Stegostoma tigrinum: one gene and its partners. The protein of the gene in region 1 interacts with the protein of each later gene in a biochemical or structural test. Links are inferred from orthologs where the notes say so. Each region holds a gene or a part of one and is shown in the gene's direction. Other genes may lie near its edges.

Region 1 (7,430 bases):
CTCTACCTATCTTCAGTCGGCCTCCCCCTCTCTCCCTATTTATTTCAGAATCCTCTCCCCACCCGGTCCTTGGATAAACATATGGATGATAATGGAATAATGTAGGTTAGATGGGCTTCAGTTTGGTTTCACAACGTCCAAGGCCGAAGGGCCAGGGGTCTAGACCCAAAACGCCAGCTTTTGTGCTCCGAAGATGCTGCTTGGCCTGCTGTGTTCATCCAGCTCCACACTTTGTTATCTCGGATTCTCCAGCATCTGCAGTTCCCATTATCTCCTACCAGCTTTCCTACCCTCCTTGTGAAGATTAACACAAAGTTTGATTCTGGGGAAACTGTAGTTTAACCAGTTGCAAACAATAGAGCGTGTGTCGCGCTGGAATTTGCACCGGCATTTCCAGAGCCACGTTATACATAATTTTCCAAATATTTAAAATGACCAGGCAGAAAATCGCATGGAGTCTGTCGGAGCGGGTACTGCTCACAATCAGGGGAATTAACTCCTGGACTATATTCGGCATGCAACTCTTCCAATACTGCCATCACAGTTTTCACGTGACCTAAAAGTTTGTTTTTTCATGTTGATAAGAGCCAGGCAAGAAGGAATGGAGCACACAAACGATATGCGCCGCGCCTCGTGCTTATCTAACAGAGAACCAGAAATTCAACAAGTTCTTTACTCAACTGGAAATCGTGACAGAAACTGGTCGGGCGTGACTGCGGGGGATCATCTGCAAGACGAACAAAACATTCGTTCGAACAGGAAGTCTCTCCCATTGTGGAAAAAAAAGCACTTAAGTGAAGGCAGCTTTTTCCGATGTGTTATAATAGCTTGCTTGATTTAATGTGAAACAGTTGGGTCTTGTGTAAACCTCGGCGGAACATATGACCCTAAGACAGTCATAGAGTCAATCTCCTCCTGTTCGTTCTAAAGATTGCTGTTCTTGACAAATAAAGTCATAATATATAGTCAGCAGCGCAGCAGCTTATGATTGAAAAACAAATCTGTGAGGGAGTCTGTGGGATTGTTTTCTGTGGTTTTCCACACTTGGAGAGTTGATAGATTTATAAAAATTGGGCAAATCATGTAAACTATTTACATCACTAAGACACATGATGGAAACTAAACAGCGTGTGTACCGTTTGTAGTGTGTTTGGAATTGTGTTGCCTTGAATGACTAGCTTCTGGGAACTCGATAAGGACGGAGTGGGTCTTAATTAGGGTCATATTTTAGTGTTTGACCACATCAACTTGGAGCAGCTTCCGTTTGAGTGTTAGAGAGAGATAAGCAAAGTCCAGTTCTTGCCTCAATCCAGCCACCTCTGCACTTGCAAGCTGACGAGTAAAGTTTATTGCCTGAAGGTCTTGAAAATTCAAATAAAACTCCGCTGCCACGATCATCCCACCCTTTGCACACTCATGAGGAGCGTGCAAACTGCTCAACCGAAAGAATAGCATGGCCTCTCTGATGAAGGATCTAGGGCCGAAACGTCAGCTTTTGTGCTCCTGAGATGCTGCTTGGCCTGCTGTGTTCATCCAGCTTCACACTTTATTATCTCGGGTTCCGGGCCTATCCGCTGCTGACCTCTGAGCTAGCTGCTCGCACTCTGACCATCCCAATGTAACTAGGAAGGAGTAGCAAGAACTGCAGGTGCTGGAGTCAGAGACAACTCCGCGCTGTATTGTCTGTAACTAGGTTTGAATTCACTGTAAACGCAAAATATTGCGGAAGCTGGAAGCCAAAACACGAATAGAAATTTCTTCATATACTCAGCGAGGCCGGGCAACATCTAGAAAAGGGGAAACTATTTACATTCCAGGTCGCGAAATTCTGGGCTAAAGCTCATCGGCCTGAAAGTTTAACCCTGAATGGCGATAACAATTGAAAACTTTTACTTTCTTCGGAAGTTGTATGCAGCTTCTTTTAATTGTTCTGTAGATCTCCGCTTTTCTTCTTGATTTTCTTTCCCCTCCTGAATTTGGTGACTCATGCCGGTGATAAATTCCTGCATCATTCTGTGTACAACTGAAGGCGGTGACTACCCTCTCATTGACATAAACACGACAACTCTAGTCTGACTGTCTCAGAAGCGGCATACTGTACTCCTGTTAGCTTCACATTGTTCTGTATAGAGATACAACAGCAATCCCTCCTGTCGATTTGAATGGAACATATGCTCTTCTTCAAAGTCTCAAAGCAGCCTCGATATTAGGAATTCTTACACAGTATAGAGTGTAGTTCTTGATATCCCACGTGCACTATAGGCAAACAACTGACTTGCGAATGTAAGGTAACAGATTTGTTTGCTACCACGGGTGTTGAATGAGGTTTGAGTCATCTGTTTGCATTGCCGTGCAAAGCAGAAATGTATTTGTACAAAACAGTACATGTATAAAACAATCCTGCATCCAGACAGGTTGTGTATACCAAGGAGAACAAACTCAGCGTTTCCTCTCACTAGCATGACTCAGATCGAGAGCCTGGTGCTGTAGGGACTTGCAGGTGTCAGCCACATCTCTAGCCGAGACTGCTGTGGCAGCTCGAATGATTGCTCTTTTTCTAATCAGGTTTTTGTGTCCACTGCTCGTCAATGCAATGAGGGGGTGCTGTGAGGTGTGTAGATAGCGGTAAAGTTGAAGACATCCTGCTAAAACACCGGAAATCAATACTGACATGGGCATCGCGCTACTTCTGCACTTCTCCAACATTGCAGCCTTTCCCAGCCACACATCTCCTTTCTCTGTTTGTCTCACAAACTACAGCTCATGAGACCCAGTCACTGCCCACTCTGCCAAATGACCGATAGTTTTGTTCTATGAGGTGCATCTGAAATGATATCCTTGCTCTGCTCTCTGTAGATTTATTGCAGTCATCGCGTTTGACTCACGGGTCAGAGGATCGGGAGCAAAGACACGATCTTAAGAGTGTCCTTGCTGGCAAACGCACAATTATAATGAATTGTAGCGGGCGTAGATGCAATAATTCATAAAGGAAGGGCAGCAGGAAAGTGAACTCACCAACATGACAACGTTTTTGTAAAGTATGATGGGAAAGCAAGGCTGAGTCACGGGCATGTATAAATCTTTTCGCATTTAAAGTAAAACATTGCTATTGTTTGGAATTAAATTTAAAAAAAGCTGCTGTCTGGAGATAACTGACGTATTGAAAATAAATTACGTGAAGTCGAATCTCATGTATTTTATGCTCCTGATATTCAAGTGTCTCTGGAAAAGGTAGTACTTCGAATTGATGCAGCTAAATCCAAGATTTCGTAATTCATTAGCAGATGTAGCATGTGATCTGCAATACAGAAAATAGGCCTAAGGCCTACCCAGCCTGCACCTGTCAATAGCACTCACTGAATTATTCTAATCTCATTTTCCAGCACTGGGCCCGTTGTCTTGAAAGCCTTGGCATCACTTCGGCACATCTAAATACCTCGAGAAAAGTTCAGAGCTAACTCTACGCTCAAATTCAAACAACTTCCACCCCAGCACTGCCGTTGTCAAAACAAAATCTCGAAAGAACTGCAGATGCTAGAAATGAGAAACACAAAGAGCAATTGTTGGATACACTCAGCAGATCTGGCAGCATCTCTGAAGAGAAAGTAGTTTCAGGTCCAGTGACCCTTCTTCAGAACTGCTTATACGTTCAATTAGAAAAGTAAATGACTGGGCAGTAAATGGTTATTTTTTGTGCCAAGAAGTGCTAAATACTATTTAACCATCTCACTGTTCGACTCCCGACGAAAAGAGGAGGCAATGGCCTAGTGGTGTTATCACTGGACTGTTAACCCGGAGACCCAGCTGATGTCTTGAGGATCTTCTTTCGAATCCCGCCAGGGCAGCTGATGCAATTTGAATTCACTAAATACCTGGAAATGAAGAATCCAATGATGACTATGAATCCGTTGCCTATTGTCGGGGGAAAACCCATTTGGTTCACTAACGCCCTTTCGTGAAGGAAATTGCTGGCCTACCTGTGGCTCCAGACCCACAGCAATGTGGTTGATTCTTAACTGCCCTCTGGGCAATAAAATGCTGCCTGCCCGGCGACATCCTTATTCCGTGAATGAATAAAAGAAAAACTGTAAACGCCATTTAGAGACGACAACAAATATACACATAGGCTCAGCTGCATATTTCACGTTGCCCTTCCTGGCTTTGCAAAATTTAATGGAATCCATAAAATTTATTTTCGCTTCCAAACACTATTAATGAGGCGTGGTGGTATATGCTTGCGACATGTAGAAAATTATAGGTTCGTGTTGTAGAATTGTTCTAATCAATTTTTTTCAACAATATGTGCTAACATGTTTTCACCCGCAAGGAACTGCAATTTTGTGATAACTTTCCCGGTTGTTCGGGATGTTTAAGGATCAACAGCGCCGTCACGTCACGTGACGAATGGATCAACTTTCATGGTTCGGCACCTCCTCCCGTATATAATCCACAAATTGCCATGTCCACTTGACACACATTGAACTGACCTCAAAATTACAGCAGCTTCCTTTTCAGGGCGGACTAAATCAGAGGAAAAGCTCCTGGATTATCACGAGTGGCTTTTGCAGAATTCCTATTAACCCTCAGTCATTGAAAGGTGACTTTAACATGTTCCGCCGTCCGATCGACTGCAAGAACATAAGGCTGTGAGAAGCAGCGAATATTGACAAAGGAAGCAGATTGGCACAGCAACGGGAGACCACGTTCATTGGGATTCCGGCATTCCCACTGTGACATGTGGAAGAAGTGGGTTTTCGCGCTGTTGGTATGGCTGTGGACGGGATTTCCTAATGCAACGGGTGAGAGGGCGTTTTGCAGACTAACCTGGCAAAGTAGTGTGTAGGATTGAATGTCAAGAAATTCAAATTGAAGAATTCAGAGCACAATTCAACTTGAATCGTTGTAGAAAATGCAAGCACTTTATAATGCAAATTTGAGGTAGTTTTCTAATTATAGAAAATATTGTGCAATTATTACGTATTCTATCGGAATTTAACTCCATGTGCTATTACATTTCGTTAGAAACATAACTGAGTCTAAGGCACAGGGAATGCTTTTTTGAGATTATAAAAATGACTATGTGAGGCGTCCACTGTATTCAGAACCAGGGGGTCCGACCTATAACTTGATAAATCTCATTGAACAAAAATAAATGGTACGTTAGCCCTAACAGATAGTAGCCAAGCAGACTCAACCTTCTCGTTGTATGAAGCAGCTTTAGACGTCGAGCTTCAAATCATTTGTAGTGCCCTGGTTAGTTCCAATTAACAGCCCACTGCAGGCTCAGGGTTAGACTTTTCTAATTATCCTGTTACACAGCGCTGGAGCAGGTGGTAATTAAACCCGCGCCTCCTAGCCCAGAGGTAGGGACGCTATCTAGTACAAGAGCCCGAGGGTGAGATTACAAAAAAATTTAAACAACCCATTCAAGAGATGCTATCACTTAGATATATTTTTGCAGTAGGTGGGACTTGAACCCAGGCCTCCTGGTTCAGAGGTAGGGACACTAACTGCACCACTGAAACCCTCGGCTCAGATTCTCAGGATCTAACAAATGACAGGAATCTGGTGTGTCTTTGTGATGGCTTGGGATTCGCTTTGAATTCTCCGTTCGGTGAAATACAAAGATTAGTTAATAGTTGGACAACTGTGAATTTCAGTGCAAACTTTGTAATGATCTGTGATTTACAATGGGTTACTGCCCATTTATATTTCACCGAGTGTCCTCTTCTGCTGACTGTACTGTCATGCAGTATTGAAGCCGAAAGCTTGTGGATAAAATTGAACGGCAGTTCGGCAGTTCATTTATGTTAAAAGTAAATACTCTGGCTGCTGGTTCAGTTTGTGGTATGGACTTTTATAGGTGGTCCATTGTGAAATGAGTTATCCCAAGAACATAACCTGGTGAAAACTGGGCGGAATAGTACTGTGAACTGAAATCAGTCAGGGGGAACGCCGCTTCCCTTAGGAGCTCAGCTTTTACACCGCTCAGGAAGCTGCTGGGAAGTGGAGATGGGCCCAGCGGCCGGGGGAAGTGCGATGGAGATTTCTGGGAGGTAAAAAGGAACGACAGGTGACCGAAGGCATATCTTTTACTGGTACGCAGCCCCATCGGCTTTCGAAACAAATGGTGGAACTCGCTGTCAAGTTCAACTTCTCTCCCAGGATATTCTTCACAATCTGGGTAGCAGCATTACGGACTGAAGTCACGTTTCATGGTGGCCATTCTCTCCGAGATCCCTATAAATGTTGGAGAGGAACGTTCGTAGGAAAAACAAACCGAAACTTTATCGGTATAAAGAGGGGTTAGATAGATATATTAAAAAAAAGAAATAAGTCGAGGATTTGAGGGCAATGACAATCTGACACGAAAGTGGAGTTGACAACTGGGACAGACATTTTATATAATGGAGGGGACAGGCTTGAGGGACTGAATGGCCGACTCCTGCTCCTATTTGTTCTGTCATCTGGAGTATAATGGGGTCCCGATCGCACTCCTACCTAAACACAAGTCGCTCTTGCTGGGAGCAAACCCACTGCTCATACTACGTATGATATCCAACCATTAAAGCCCGGACCCTTGAGTAATACCACTCCCAGTTTTACGAACCGTTCAAATATATCTCGATTTTATGTGCCTGGATCCAGCATCTCTCGCTTGAAATCATAATTCATGCACCTAATTTGGCCTGTGAAAGGAAAGGAACGAAAACAAAATAATTTGATTTAAAACTGCCATTTTTCATAATGTATTCCTAGAAAAGGAAATTGAAAAGTGACCTGGGGCGGTTACCGCGATTCATTTTTACAAGGTTTTAATGTCAGTGCAGTTCCCTGGTAGCTAATTAAAGGTAAATGGTGGGTAAATGGTGCTAGAGGGTTGGGGGGAAGGGTGGAAGGAGGCAAGGTGGATAGGATTACTGAAGTCTGCTATCAACACGGATTGTTTCCCTGAAGTAGCTCATGACAGACGGGCAGGAGACGTGGGAGCAGTTGCTGTTCAGAGGAAATCTGTTGGGCAATAAGTGCAAGTCCCCTCTGACAGACTTTCTAACGAGGCGAATCTCTGTATACTTTAAATTGAACTTAGATCAGCATTTGGACCCAGCAGACCTGCACACTCCTCCCGCAGCCTTATTAGATGGACTGACAGCATACAGCATACCTGTACAGCAGGATAAAAATAAATACCATTCACATTTCGGGGTGTCACTGTCAGCGATTGTCGTAACAACCGTGATCTGGTTGCTGGATAGAAGGAAATCTTCATTTAAAAAACGCAGTCTTTTATATAACGTACCATTTTGCCATTAAATGAACCATACACAATTTTGTGTTTGAAAGGCTTTGTAAAGGTCCGTTATTATTTACCTTTTTTTATTTTTGTCGATGTTGCCATGTGAAGAAATTTGTTCAGAGAAAACCTTGAC
Region 2 (7,207 bases), on another chromosome or scaffold:
ATCCAGCTTCACACTTGGTTGTCTTGGATTCTCCAGCATCTGCAGTTCCCATTATCTCTAATGTTCTCGGGACCTGGGTTCGAATTCTGCCACAGCAGATGGTGGAATTTCAATTCAATAAATATCTGGAATTAAGAGTCTAATGCTGATCATGAATCCATTGTCAATTGTTGTAAAAAACCCATCTGGTTCACTAATGCCCTTTAGGGAAGGAAACTGCCATCCTTACCTAGTCTGGCCTACGTATGACTCCAGTTATAGGAAGCATATTATTAAGCTAGAGAGGATTAAGAAGAAATTTACCGGGATGTTGCTGTGTCTGGGAGGTTTGATTTATCAATAAAGGCTGGATAGGATGGGACTTTTATCACTGGATCATAGGGGATTGAGAAATTTACAAAATAATGACGGGTATAGGCAGAGTTAATGATAGTTGTCTTTTCTCTCGGATGGGGATTTTAAGACTAAGGGCACATTTTTAAGGTGAAAGGAGAGGGATTTAAAAAAGACTAGGGGGGCAAATTTTTTTCATGTGTGGAATGAACTTCCTGAGGAAGTGGTGGATGTGGGCACAGTTACAAAGTTTAGAAGGCATTTGGATAAGTACATGAATAGGAAATGTTTGGAGCAATATGTGCCAGGAGCATGCAGGTGAGATTGGTTAAGTTTGGGACTATGTTATGCATGGATTAATTGGGCTGAAGGATCTGTTTCCATGCTGTATGATTCTGTAGCTCCCCCTGTCTGTATGTGTTTCTGCTGGCTGTTCCCATTTCCTCCCACAGTCCAAAGATCACAGAATCGCTACAATGCAGAAAGAGACATTCAGCTCAACAAGTAAGAATTGACTCCCTGAAAAGCATCTCACCCAGACCCACCACTACCTTATCCCTTTAAACCTGCAATTCCCATGGCCAATCCACGTAACCTGCACATCTTTGGGCTGTGGGAGGAAATCGGAGCATCCGGAGGAAACCCACACAGAGACAGGGAGAATGTGCAAACTCCACACAGACAGTCGCCCGAGGCTGGAATCTGACCCGGGTCCCTGGCGCTGTGAGGCTGCAGGGCTAACCACTAAGACACTGTGCCATCCTCTCTGTGTAGATTAGCCATGCTAAATTGCCTCGTTCTGAGGAAGGGTAACCGGACCCAAAACGTTAACTCTGTTTTCTCCTTCACAGATGCTGAGCTTTTCCAGCAACTTTGTTTTTGTTCTTGACTTACAGCATCTGCAGTTCTTTTGGTTTTTATGTAAATTGCCCCATAGCGTCCAAGGATGTGCATGCCAGATGGGTTATTCATGATAAATGTGGTGTTACGTTGTATGGGGCTGTGTCTGGATAGGATGCTTTTCAGAGGGTCTGTGTAGACTCAATGGGCTGAATGGTCTCTTTCTGCACTGTTGGGATTTTATGATAATTATTCATAAAATCTGAGCATCAGCCATGGCTCAGTTAGTCATATCTTCTCCTGTCAGAGTGGATTCAAGTCCTTGAGCATAAATGTCAAATGCTGTATGGTAAGAAGTGCCTTCCTTTGGATGAAATGTGATACTGAGGTGTCGTCTGCCATCTCAGGAGGATATAAAAGATCTCATGCTACTATTTATAAAGAAGACAAGGAGAGTTATTCCCACTCTGGCCAAAATTCATCCCTCAATTAATATCCCAAAAACAAATTATATAATCATTATCATATTGCTGCTTGTGAGAATTTGCTTTGTACACATTTGGGACCAACAATGACCACACTTTAAAAGTACTTGATTGATTATGCAGCACTTTGAGGTGTCCGGAAGGCACTATACAAATTCAAATTCTTATTCTTTTTGAGGAAATGGGGAGAATGTTTCAAATAATGCTATTTGTCCAGAAAAGCAAGATAAATACAAGCTCTGTTTAACAACTTTTCTGAAAGATGATACCTCTGCTAGCATAGCACTCCCTTAGGTATTTTGTGAAGTGGGACTGGATGTTTTAACTCTGAGGGGAGGCTATTGCCTAGTGGTATTATTGTTGGACTGTTAATCCAGAGAACCAGATAATGTTTTGGGGACCCGGCTTTGAATCCCGTCATGGTGGAAATTGAATTCAATTTTAGAAAAACTGGGATTAAGAGTCTAATGATGACCATGAAACCATTGCTGGTAAAACCCATCTAGTTTATTAATGTTCTTCAGGGTCTTCCTAGGTTGTGGGCAATGTTCACAAGAATGGTTTCAGGGATGAGGAACTTCATTAAGAGAAGTTGGGACTGTTGTCCTTGTAGGATAGAGGGCTGAAAAGTGTTCAAAATCATGAGGTGTTCTGGACAGGATGGAAAGGTTGAACCCACTGTCAATCGTGAAGGAATTGCCACCTTATTTTGAATTCTCAGTGCAGTTTTGGTCCCGTTACCCAAGGAAAAACATTCATATCATACAGGGAGTGAATTGGAGGTTCTTGACATTGATGCTTAGGATGTTGGAGAGATTGAGAAGTCTGGGTCCATATTCTCTAGAGTTTTGAATAATAAAGTGTGATCTCATTGAAATGTGCAGAATCCTTGCAGGGTTCAATAGTTTGGACGTGGGAGAAGGAAGAAAGATGTATTAGCATTGGAGGTAGTCCAGAGAAGGTTCACTAGGGTGTTTCTGGGTATGGAGAAGAGTTGAGTAGATTGGTCTGTACTGATTGTAGTTTAGACAAATGAGAGGAGATTTTACAGAAATATACAAGATATTAAATATACAAAATATATCAGGGCTTGATAGGCTAGATGCAGAAAGGTTGTTTCCCCCTTGGGGACAGTCTAGGACCAGATGGCATAACTACGGAGTAAGGGGTAGTTCACTTAAAACCGAGATGAGGTGGCTTTTTTTTTGCTGAGTGTAGTGAATGTGTTGTAATCTTCACTGCTAAGGACTGTCGAAGTTGGTTAGACAGGTATATTCCAGGCTGATATAGACAGTTTTTAAAAAATCAGCAAGGGAATCAAGGATTATGGGGAAAAGGCAGAAAAGTAGTGAGGATTTACAGATCAGTCATGATCTCGTTGGATGGCAGAACAGACTCGACAGTCTGGCCTAATTCTGCTTGTATATCTCATGGCTGTGGAAGCTCAACCATTGAGCAAGTTCAAGAGGGAGATTGATATGTATGTGCAGATAGATGATTCAATTTGATTCATTATTTGTTTGATTTATTACTTATTATTTATTATTGGGAAGGCAATGGCTTAGCTGTATTATCACTAGATTATTAATCCAGAGACGCAGGTAGTGTTCTGAGGACCCGGGTTCAAATCCAGCCATCGCAGATGGTGGAGTGAGAAGTCAATGAAAATCAGGAATTAAGAGTTCAAGCACAGTGGCTCAGCAGTTAGCACTGCAGGCGCGCAATGCCATGATCCTGGGTTTGAACCCACCCTCGGGCAACTGTCTGTGTGAAGCTTGCACATTCTCTATGTGTCTGCGTAGGTTTCCTTCAACAGTCCAAAGATGTGCAGGCTAGGTGCATTGGCCATGCTAAATTACCCGTAGTGTTCAGGGGTGTGTAGATTAGGTGAGTTATAGGGGGATGGGTTTGGATGGATTGTTCTGAGGGTCAGCATGGATTTGTTGGGCCGATGGGCCTGTTTCCACACTGTAGGGATTTGATGGCCATGAATCCATGGTTGATAAAGAAAGATCAATCTAGTTCACTCAGGTTGAACAATGTTGTTCACAGAAGGAAATCTGCCATCCTTACATGTGACTCCCGACCCACAGCAGTGTTTTTGACTCTTGACAGCCCTCTGGGATGGAAAATAAATGCTGGCCAGCTCTCATGAATGAATAAAAAAAACAATTATTTTCACGTGTACTGGGATACAGTGAAAGCTATTGTTTTGCACGCTAACCAGACAAATCTTACCTTACGGAAGTACACCAGGATAATAGAACAGAATGCGGAATGTACCGTTACATCCACAGAGATGGCGCAGGTATAGGACAAGTCTAATAACAGTATCAGATAATGGCATTAATGAGATAAGGGAAGGGTGTGGGAAAGTGGTATTGATGCAGGTAATGAAGAACGGAGGGGCTGAAGAGCCGCCTCATCCCCCTGTGTGGAATCTGTGAGCTCCAGCTCCTGAAAGTCCAGTCCAGAGAGTGTGGAAGGGAGTGGATCCGCTCCTGGGGGAAATCCAGGGAGAGTTTTAGTGAGAGCTTTGGGCAGAGGCTCCGAGCTCAGGCAGTGAGCGAACTTTGTGCGCAAAGGAAAAGTTGGGCTGTCCTCCTCGGACAGAGCAGGGAGCGGCCCCACTCAAGGATTTTGACTGACTTTCTCCTCCCAGCCCCGGCAGCCGATCACCGGGGGGAGATTTTAAAAAAAAGAAATTGTGGTGGGGGTGAGAGGGAAAAGGGGGCAGAAAAGATCCGTGAAGAGGGGAAATGGGCCGGAGGAAAGTGTCGCTGCTTCACTGGCGGCTCCTCACCCAAGTTCTTGTCTTCTCTGTTTCTGTGAGTACAACTGTTTCCACACTACCGTCCACCGCCCCCCATCCCACCAAAAAAAACTTTTCCTTCGCGTTTTCTTGCGTTTCTCGGTAGATTTTGAACGGAGTTTACGTGGCGCGGGAGGGCGACTTTCCTCAAACCAGGAGTCCAGCTGAAATTTTCAGAAACTCTTGGGGAAGTTTGGACGAACTCTCGGAGCTCGAGCTGGGATGGACAAGGTCGACGGAAGCACTTTGGGGAAATTCTCTAAGCTTGCACCTTTTCTGAGTTGGCTCCAGATCCTTGGGTGTATTTGTACGAAAGAGAGCAAAAAGAAAATACTGGTAGCAAAGGCTAATTTTATCCAGTCTGGAACTGTTGCCATGGCTTGAAACCTATTCTTAGTTTCCTCCAAATCAGTCTGACCAGCTATCTGCTGGTCCCGTGTTATTCTTGCATAAATAAGCTTGAGCTTGAGAAGATGATTGTAATAATAAAAAAGCAAAAATAAATTTTAGACAAGTGTTTAAACTGCAAGATACTAGAAATCAAATCAAGTGGTGAATTTGGATTGTAAAGTATGTTCAGCTTGATGCATACTTCTTTCTGGGCTCTCAGGGACTCCCTGAAGTCACAGTACTCTTTATACTGGTCTTAATCTAAAGGTTATGGATTAAATGACACCCTGATATCTAGCTTCACCTCCTTTCCCATTCCAGCTAGGGTACATTATGATCCAGGAGCACGGAATCACCGGCATTAGAGAAAGATGGGCTAAAACTTTAGAAGCCTGCTTAAGAATCTTTTTTGCTTTATCTGGTTTTGTACTTCTAGCTGAATTGTAATGTCGGGCTTTCATAAATTCTGCTGTCCCCACTGCAATGTTGGAGCAGATACTAGCCTACCACAGGACATGTTATAGGTCACGTCTTGGAAATGTGAAAAGTTGTGGGTTGCTCTGATGGTGTGAATTGAAGCTTTGTGAAGAGTGTTTAAAACTCAGGACGATTTCTGGAAATAGTGTGAATTCTGTCAAATCAGCTCCTGGCAGAGTCGCAGCTCTGGTATACTGCTCCTTTATTATGTGACCAAGGCTTCAGAAACCCTTAAGAAGTAATTTAGGAGAGGCGTGTGAAACCAGTATGCAGGTTAACTCTGCAGCTGGTAAACTATCAGTCTTTCAGGTCACGAGGGTTTTAGATTTGAACCCTGCTCTTTGTTTAGGTGCATGGTCTCAGCGGGTGGAGTAAAGGCTCTGTCTTCGTGCCTGTGACCTTTTGAGGTGGAGGAGTGATTGGGGATTGAGCAGTGATCTTGAGTCTAGTAGTTGGGTGGGTTGGACTGGATTTGAGGCTGCTGTCATCGCCTCACATTCAGCGTCAATGTGATATGGAGTGAAGGGATTCTGACTGCAGTGGAGCTAGATGTTCATTACACAACACACCCCCTACACCTCTTCATTATTGGCTTCAGTAACAAGCAAATGCAAGTGAGACCAGTGACAGGTCTGATCTGCATGTACTTCCTTACTCCTGTCGTTGTTGGAAGTGGGCCATTCTCTTTGTTTATTCTTTCACTGGATCTGGATACTGCTGGGTTTATTACCCACCCCAAGTGCCCTCGAGAAGATGGTACTGAGGCGCCTCCCTGTATATGTACTTTTGTGGTATATTCTCCTATAAGATTTGACATTCTGTTACTGTGCAGGCGTGTGACTTATACCAGTGCACTGGTGCATCTAGCATGGATCACTGCATCCAGTGAATGTGGAATGGAGTTTGTAGCCTGTCAATTTGAATATAAAAGGCAATCAGATAAAATCTCTCCAGTCTGCTTTTCTGCTCTTTATACGATAATGTAAGAGCCCTAACTGAAATCTGGAACAAGTCATGGTGCTCTGTCACCTCCACCCTTCCACTATGACCTTTTTGCTACAGTCTCCGTGGTTGATCCTTCTCCAGCAGATGCTTGACCCCTCCTTTACCATCTGGGCAGCCAAATCATCTGCCTGATTATGTATTTTTTTTAATCACACGCTCACGCACATTCAACATCTCCAGCAGTTGCCTCAGTCTGATCTTTCTCTTGGTGATACGATCCAAGGGATGAGATCAGATTTGACCCAACCACTGGTGGTGATCGGCATGATTTCCCAACGCACCTCTTAACCTCTAATCAGCTCTTCGGTTTGAATCGTAACCCAACATCATTGACAAGTCGAAGCTTTCCCCTGGCTCATTGTTGGAAAGCCTGATGCCAGTTGAATGCCTCTGCTTGCCTCCTGCCTCTGGCTACTCTTGCAGTGAACTAGGTCATTTGTGAATTTATCCTCTCAGATGCTGAACTTCAAACCCCGGGTAACCTCTGTCTCTTAAGCACTTAACTTCTACCTTTGGAACCTTGTGTACCTCCAAAATAACACGTTAATTTCACACAGACCTCAGTATAAAGGGTGCTTCCTCATGTTAGGCCTAACCAGACTGCTGGAACATTCTCCGCAGAATTTTCCCCATAATCCAACTCTGGAAAGTGTGAACATATCTGGTGGCCAGAATGGGAGTAGAACTTGAGGTTGTCGAGTTGGAGAATGTTACAAAACAGGAAGAGATAAAGGTCTTGGGAGGTGCAGGCGGTTGAAAATGAGGATAAAAATTAAAAAATGAAGGCATTGGTCAACACGGAGTCGTGGTTGGTCAGTAAGCACAGGGATGAAGAACAGACGCTATGGTTAGACATCTCTACCTC
Region 3 (7,549 bases), on another chromosome or scaffold:
TGAAGCTCAACACAAGCTTAAGGAACATCTCATTTTTCACTGAGGCAGCCTCAAGGACCCAATACTGAGTTTCACAACTTCAGAGCATGACTTCTGTCCTCCTTGTTTCTTACACCTCAATCACTCCTTTAGCCCATTAGTTTTCCTTTAGTCTTTTGCTTTGGGCACCTCATAATCTGTTCCAATTGCTCCTTTTCCTGCTCTGCCAATAACACAAAATAGCATTTTCCAATTCCTTTCCTTTGTGAAGAGTCACGTTGGACTCAAAACGCTAACTCTGTTTTTCTTTTCTCAGATGCTGCCAACTTGTTGAATTACTTCGGCACTTTCTGTTTTCATCTTGGGGGGGCTTGTCAAGCTGAATTATGTATTCATATTCCTTGAACCTACTATATTCTGACCAAGCAGAGTGAGTGGTCCTCCTGAGCCATGGTTTTAACCCTCAATGTACAGTGTTTCCCACTGAAACTGAGTTGAATAGATGGGAAGCTGGTCATTGTTGACAGATACATGGAAGCAGCTGTGTGCTAGTTACAGATCTGCTCTTTCATGCAGCTTCATACACAGCTGTTGCAGGGTCATTGATGGTGGGGAGATGGAAGATGCAAACTCTCATACTTAAATCCTCACCTTCCTTAAAAATATTCCAACCATAAGGTTTGCATCCATTCTGTAAATCACCGCCTCCTGCTGTTGCAAGTAAATGGCAGCTGAAGCAGCAAAAAGGCTGTGAGCATTCTGGCTAAATGTATTTCAGCGTCAGAATGGCAAAAGGTCCCCATTCAGGACTGGGCAATTTCCGAGCACAGAAATGAGAGCCTGACAGATGCAGCTGTCTGCAATAGAGCAGATGGGAAATGAATAACAGAAGGGAGCTGTGGTCCAAGGAGCAGAGTTTGATAACTGGCACTGTGTCAAGGGGAGACCTACCCAGGATTGAAGAGCATAATGACTGGGTCATTATATAGAGATGGGTGGGGATGTAGTTGGGAAATGGCCAGAGCAGAAGGAAATCACCTTTTAATTTGAGCCAGACTGTTCAGGGGTGATGTCAGGAGGCACTTCCTCATACAGACAGGAGTGGAAATCTGGAACCCTCTCCGATACTGAGGTTTGTTGATTTTGTCAGGAGTGAATCACGAAGTGGTTACAGTACACAACAAGACCATTTGGCCATCAAATTTGTGCAAACCCTCACAAGGAGCAGTGCTATTTAGTATCATCTCCCTGTAGCCCTTTTCAAATAACTTTCTAATTCACTTGGGAATACCTCAATTGAAGCTACCTCCATCACATACTTAAGCACCCAAGCCACTCGCTGTACAGAAATGTGTTTTCTGATGACGACAGAAACCAGGACAACTCCAACGCGGAAAGTTACTCCTCTGCTATTGAGCAGCAGCAAAATGATAAAAATGACAGGTTGCACCTTAACTGGTGGGGCACCAATATCCTGGGTGGGAGGTTTGCTACAGATCTGCGGGGCGGGTGGGGGTGGTTTAACCTAGTGTGGCAGGGGCTGGGGCAGGGGATCAGAACAACAGACCAGTAAGAGCAGGCAGTCGGGACAAAAGAGAGACTGAGATATGCATCGCACAGAGTAAGAGCGAGCAGAGGGATGTCACAGGGTTCGGAGGGACTGGAGGTCTGGAGTGTATTTACTTCAATGCAAAAAGTATAACAGGTAAGACAGATGAACTATGGCTGGTCTCAAGGGTATTGGCTATGAGGAAAGGTTAAAAAGATGAGGATTGTTTTCACTTCAAAGACAGCGGCTGAGAGGAGACCTGATGGAGGTGTACAAAATAATAAGAGGCACAGATAGCTTGGGTAGTCAGAGACCTTTTCCTGGGGTTGAAGTTTCAATTACAAGGGGGTGCAAGTTCAAAGTGAGAGGGGGAAAATTTAAGGGATATGTGCGAGGGAAGTTTTTCATGCAGAGAGTGGTAGGAGCCTGGAATGCACTGCCAGAGGAGGAGGTCGAATCAGGCACATTGGTAACATTTAAGAGGCATCTGGATGGCTACATGAATAGGGAGGGAATAGAGAGATATGGACCAAATAAAGGCAGAATGTTTGTTCTTTAGTTTAGTCAGGGCATGATGATCAGCACAGGCCTGGAGGGCCGAAAGGCCTGTTCCTGATCCAGACTTCTCTTTTGTCCTTTTGAAAGTTGATAATGCTTAGCAAGAGCCTACTCACTGATGGCCAGTTTGGGTTGTGCCGCTCACACAGTTCCCTCTCTCAGTACAGCTTTCATCCAAATAGGGACAAAGACCTGAATTCCAAGTGTGTGGTGAGAGTGACTACCCTTGATATCAGGTCCACATTCAACTGAGTCTGGCACTTATCTGGTATACGGTAGATAACGTTTGGGCCAAATACAAGGCAGTCTCCAACAACAGCAAATCTAACCATTGCCACCCAGCACTCAATGGCATTACCATCATTGAATTCCCCACCATCAAGGTACTCGGGAGTGCGCTTTGACCAAAAGCTGAACCGGACTAGCCATATAAATCCAGCGGCTACAATGGCAAGCCAGAGACTAGGAATACAATGGTAAGTAACTCACCTCCTGACTCCCCAAAGTCATCATTTGCAAGGCACAAGTCAGGAATGTGATGGAATACTCCTCACTTGCCTGGATGGGTGCAGTTTTAACAACACTTAAAAATCTTGACACAATCCAGGACAAAGCCCACCTGATTGGCACCACATCCACAAAAATCCACTCTCGCTGTCACAGGTGCTCAGTTGCAGCAGTGTGTACTATCTACATGATGCACTGCAGAAATTCACCAAAGATCCTCAGACAGCACCTTCCAAACTCATGACCACTTCCATCTAGAAAGACAAGGACAGCAGATACATGGGAACACCACCACCTCCAAGTTCCCCTCCAAGCCACTCACCATCCTGACTTTATATCATCATTCCTTCAGTGCTGCTGAGTCAGAATCCTGGAATTCCCTCCCTAAGTGTATTGTGGGTCAACTTACAGCACATGGACTGCAGCAGGTCAATAAGGCAGCTCACCACCACCTTCTCAAGGGGCAACATGGGATGGACAAGAAATGCTGGGCCCAACCAGCAATACCCACATTTCATGAGTGAATAAAAAATGTCACATTTCCTTCTTTTGTGAATCATTTAAATCTCTGCTCTCTTGATCTTGATCCTTTGACTAATAGGAACAGTTTCTCTATATTTACCCTGCCCAGATCCCTCGGGACTTTCACTGCCTCTTAATCTTCTCCAATGTAAACGATCCCAGCTTTTCCAATTACTCCAGATCACTGAAGTTCTTCTTTGTGCCTTCTCCAATGTGGTGATGTCCTTCCTTTAGTGTGATGCCCAGAACTGAATACAATGGCGTAGCTGAGGTTGAATCAGTATTCATCACCGATTTAACACCACTTCCTTCCTCTTATACTCCATGCCCCTAACAACAAAGACCAGATCACAGTCCTGTGTTTACTGTGCTCTCAACCTGTCCTGACACAGCCAATGATCTATGCATGTATACATCCAAGTACCTTCATCCCTGTAAAATTGTGCCCTTTATTTTGTATTTTCTCTCCATATTCTGTGTACCAAAATAAATCACTTCATGCTTGTTTGCATTAAAATTTCATTCGCCATTTGTTAGCCCTTTCCTCCAAACTGTCCATGTCCTCTTGAAGTTTAAATGATGATGTTAACTGTTTTCTCTCCGCAGCAGCTGCCCGACTTGCTAATTTTCTCAATGATTTCTGTTTTGGTTTCAGATCTCCAGCACCTGCACTTCTTTGTTTTATTTTACTCTTGAAGTTCAAGACTGCCCTCCCCACAGCTCAGGGTGATGAGACCAATGCAAAAAACTGGGAGTTAAACCGAGACCAAGCAAAATCTAATCAGTGGGACAGGATAGAAGGGAGGAATAATCTTGGCCTGTTCCTGTATTCTCAATTTTACTGGGACAGGATTCTGTAATCAATCAGAGTGAGCAAATACAATCAGCTAAAAATGTCAGAGGCAGAGATGTTGATAAATGCAACAGGAAGAAAAATTCAGGAAAATGTTCAGCCCACACCAAACGCAACCACCTCCTTGCTGCATTCCTGCCCGTGTGTGTGTGTATGTGTGTGAGAGAGAGAGAGATAGGGAGTGTGTGTGTGTGAGTGAGTGAGAGAGAGAGAGAGGGAGAGAGAGAGAGAGACAGAGAGAGATAGGGAGTGTGTGTGTGTGTGTGTGTGTGTGTGTGTGTGTGTGTGTGTGAGAGAGAGAGAGAGACAAAGAGAGATAGGGTAATAAAATGTGAGGCTGGATGAACACAGCAGGCCAAGCAGCATCTCAGGAGCACAAAAGCTGACGTTTCGGGCCTAGACCTTTCATCAGATGAAGGGTCTAGGCCTGAAACGTCAGCTTTTGTGCTCCTGAGATGCTGCTTGGCCTGCTGTGTTCATCCAGCCTCACATTTTATTATCTTGGATTCTCCAGCATCTGCAGTTCCCATTATCTCAGAGAGAGATAGGGTGTGTGTGTGTGTGTGTGTGTGTGTGTGTGTGTGTGTGTGTGTGTGTGTGGGAGAGAGAGAGACAGAGAGAGAGAGAGAGACAGACAGACAGAGATAAGGAGTGTGTATCCGTGTGTGTGTGTGAGAGAGAGGAAGAGAGAGGGTGTGTGCGTGGAGAGAGAGAGTGTGTGTGTATGAGAGAGAGAAAGACAGAGAGAGATAGGGAGTGTATGTATGTGAGACAGGGAGTGTGTGTCTGTGTGTGTGTGCGTGTGAGAGAGAGAGGGTGTATGTGTGTGAGAGAGAGGCAGAGAGAGAGAGAGAGAGAGAGAGATCTCAGACTCTCTCCTGCCCCTGTGTGTGAAGGAGAGGGAATGTGTTTATCTGAGGGAGAGGGAATGTATGTGACAGAGAGGAATCTCAGGCTCTCTCCTGCCCCTGTGTGTGTGAGAGAGAGCGATCTCAGACTCTCTCCTGCCCCTTTGTGTGAGAGAGCGAGTGTGTTTGTGAGGGAGAGCGATCTCAGACTCTCTCCTGCCTCTGTGTGTGTGTTGGTGTGTGGGAGAGGGAGTGTGTGCGTGTGCGTGTGTGTGTGTGATAGAGAGAGAGGGGGAGTGTGTTTATGAGCGAAGGGAGAGAGAGTGTGTGTGAGAGGGAGGGAGTGTGTTTGTGAGAGTGGGAGAGAGTGTGTGTGAGAGAGGGTGTGTGAGAGGGAGGGAGTGTGTTTGTGAGAGTGGGAGAGAGTGTGTGTGTGTGTGAGAGACAGGGAGTGTGTTGGTGAGAGTGGGAGAGTGTGTGAGAGAGAGGGAGTGTGTTTGTGAGAGAGAGCGATCTCAGACTCTCTCCTGCCCCGTGTGTGAGAGAGGGAGTGTGTTTGTGAGAGGGATCTCAGACTGTCTCCTGCCCCTGTGTGTGTGAGAGAGAGAGGGAGTTTGTGTGAGAGAGAGGGAGTGTGTTTGTGAGAGTGGGAGAGAGAGAGAGAGAGTGTGTTTGTGTGAGTGGGAGAGAGAGTGCCCAGACCACCCCCCCCTCTCTGTTTGGCTGTTGGGTAATGGATGATGAATTCCCCAAATGACATCAGCGGCTGGGCAGGAGAGTGTGGACAGGATCAGTCTCAGTGTGGAGAGGTTTCACTGAGGGGCAGCTCCGCTGATGAAGCCGAAGTATGGCCGGTTTCGAAGTGAGTCGGTGACCAGCTCAGCAAGCGGCTTGTTTCACAGCCTGACCATGAGCGGCCAGCTCGGTGCAGCTCCCGTGGCCGAAGAGCCGGAGGATTCCACCACCTTCTGCACCCTCATCCCCAGAATCCCGCACTGGAAATTCTCGGCGTCGCCGGGAGGCAGGAACCCGGCCAAAGGGCTGCCTCCCCCCCCGGGGCCCGGCCTGGCCACTGTCCTGGGATCCTGTGACTCGCTGTGCCCCCCTCCCTGCTCTGTCCAGGCCACGGCACGGCTGCCCGGGGGTGGCCGGAGGGTCCGGGTGGAAGGAGTGCGCTTGGCCGGGGGGGAGTGGAATCGCAAAGGCAGTTTCATCAACAAACCGTCCGGAGGCTGGTTACACCCAGATACCAAGATCCTGGGTCCCGGGGTCTCCTACATCGTCCGTGTGAGTAACAGGGGCAGAAGTGTGTTGGTGTGTGTCCCTACTCCCCCGGGGGCAGACCACACTCAGTGCCCGTGCAGGTAGTTTTGGGGGGAGGAGGGGGTGGTCCGTCCCCATTGCCCACAACAAGCTGCAGCCTAGAGCCTCCAGAGCGAGCCCCAACTCTGTCCTCAGGAGAGGGCAGGGCAGAGAGCGCTTCCCAAAGCAGTCGCTGAGGCAGGGTCATATCATTGGCAAGGAGAAACCAGGAACTAATTGACTCACTGGACCCTGGCATCTGACGTGGTCCTGCCGTTGGAATCTATCATTTAATTACTTTATGAGAATGTAATTAGAATCTATAATGCAGCGGAGAGAGGCTGATCACGAACAGAAACTTCTGTCGGGTCTGAGAAAGCGAGAAACATGACCTTTTCCAAAGGTTGGGTCTTCTCTGATTGAATTTTTGGAGGAAAAGCAGCAGGTGGACAGTTTAGGTGAATGTTGCCGTTTGTTGGGACTTGAGGAAAATATTTGATAATTTTCTATGTGTTAACACAGAAAGGGGCAGTTTAGCCCTTCCTAGGAAGGAGTTGATGCTTGTGAGAGGTCGGCGGGATGTTTCCTCACATGGGGGAGTCTGGAACAATGGGGATTAGCAGAGGCAGATCTGTTGGTTGTGAGGTTGTTTAGCTCTGTTTATCACTTGCTGTTTACGATGTTTGGCGTGCGAGTGGTCCTGTTTGGCTTCACCAGGTTGGCACCTCATCATCAGGTCTGCCTGGTGCTGTTCTAGTGATAATACCACTAGGGAGTGCCCATCCCCAAGTGCCCATCTTTAACATGGATTGCCCTTGAGAAGGTGCTGGTGAGCTGCCTTCCTGAACTGCTTGATTTGTGGGTATGCCCACAATGCCCTTTGGGATTTTGTCCCAATGACGGTGAAGGAATGGTGATTTAGTTCCAAATCAGGATGGTGAGTGACTTGGAGGGGAACTTGCAGGGGTTGGTGTCCCATGTATCTTCTGCCCTTCTGTCCTCCTGGATGGAAGTGGTTGTGGGTTTGGAAGGTGCTGCCTGAGGATCTTTGGTGAATCTCTGCAGTGCATCTTGCAGATAGTACACACTGCTGCTATGAGTTGGTGGTGGAGAGAGTGAGTGTTTGAGGATATGGTGCCAATCAGGTAGGGGCTGCTTTGTCCTGGATGGATACCAAGCTTCTCGAGTGTTATTGGAACTGCACCCATCTAGTTAAGTGGACAGTATAACATCACACTCCTAACTAGTGCCTTGTAGCCAGTGGACAGGCTTTGAAGAGTTAGGAAATGTGTAACTTGCTGCAAGATCTGTAACCTTTGACCTGCTTTTGTAGCCACTGCATTTATATGGTTAGGCCAGTTGAATGTCAATTGTGTCTCCTAGAATCTTCGTAGAGGAAGAGTTAGCAATGGTAATATCAAGAGACAATGG

The links.
Region 2: the proteins of kdr (region 1) and hspg2 form a complex in vitro, tested with the Homo sapiens proteins (2 studies listed by IntAct). The link is inferred for Stegostoma tigrinum from reciprocal best matches to the Homo sapiens genes KDR and HSPG2.
Region 3: the proteins of kdr (region 1) and shc2 form a complex in vitro, tested with the Homo sapiens proteins (2 studies listed by BioGRID). The link is inferred for Stegostoma tigrinum from reciprocal best matches to the Homo sapiens genes KDR and SHC2.

What each region holds. Positions count from the first base shown.
Region 1 is NC_081354.1:108,373,736-108,381,165, reverse strand, and holds the start of kdr (vascular endothelial growth factor receptor 2), read left to right. Parts: upstream 1-4,409; 5' UTR 4,410-4,735; coding exon 4,736-4,799; intron 4,800-7,430. UniProt on the Homo sapiens protein: Tyrosine-protein kinase that acts as a cell-surface receptor for VEGFA, VEGFC and VEGFD. Plays an essential role in the regulation of angiogenesis, vascular development, vascular permeability, and embryonic hematopoiesis.
Region 2 is NC_081381.1:44,944,483-44,951,689, forward strand, and holds the start of hspg2 (basement membrane-specific heparan sulfate proteoglycan core protein), read left to right. Parts: upstream 1-4,207; 5' UTR 4,208-4,417; coding exon 4,418-4,486; intron 4,487-7,207. UniProt on the Homo sapiens protein: Integral component of basement membranes. Component of the glomerular basement membrane (GBM), responsible for the fixed negative electrostatic membrane charge, and which provides a barrier which is both size- and charge-selective.
Region 3 is NC_081383.1:1,006,858-1,014,406, reverse strand, and holds the start of shc2 (SHC-transforming protein 2), read left to right. Parts: upstream 1-4,549; 5' UTR 4,550-5,650; coding exon 5,651-6,103; intron 6,104-7,549. UniProt on the Homo sapiens protein: Signaling adapter that couples activated growth factor receptors to signaling pathway in neurons. Involved in the signal transduction pathways of neurotrophin-activated Trk receptors in cortical neurons.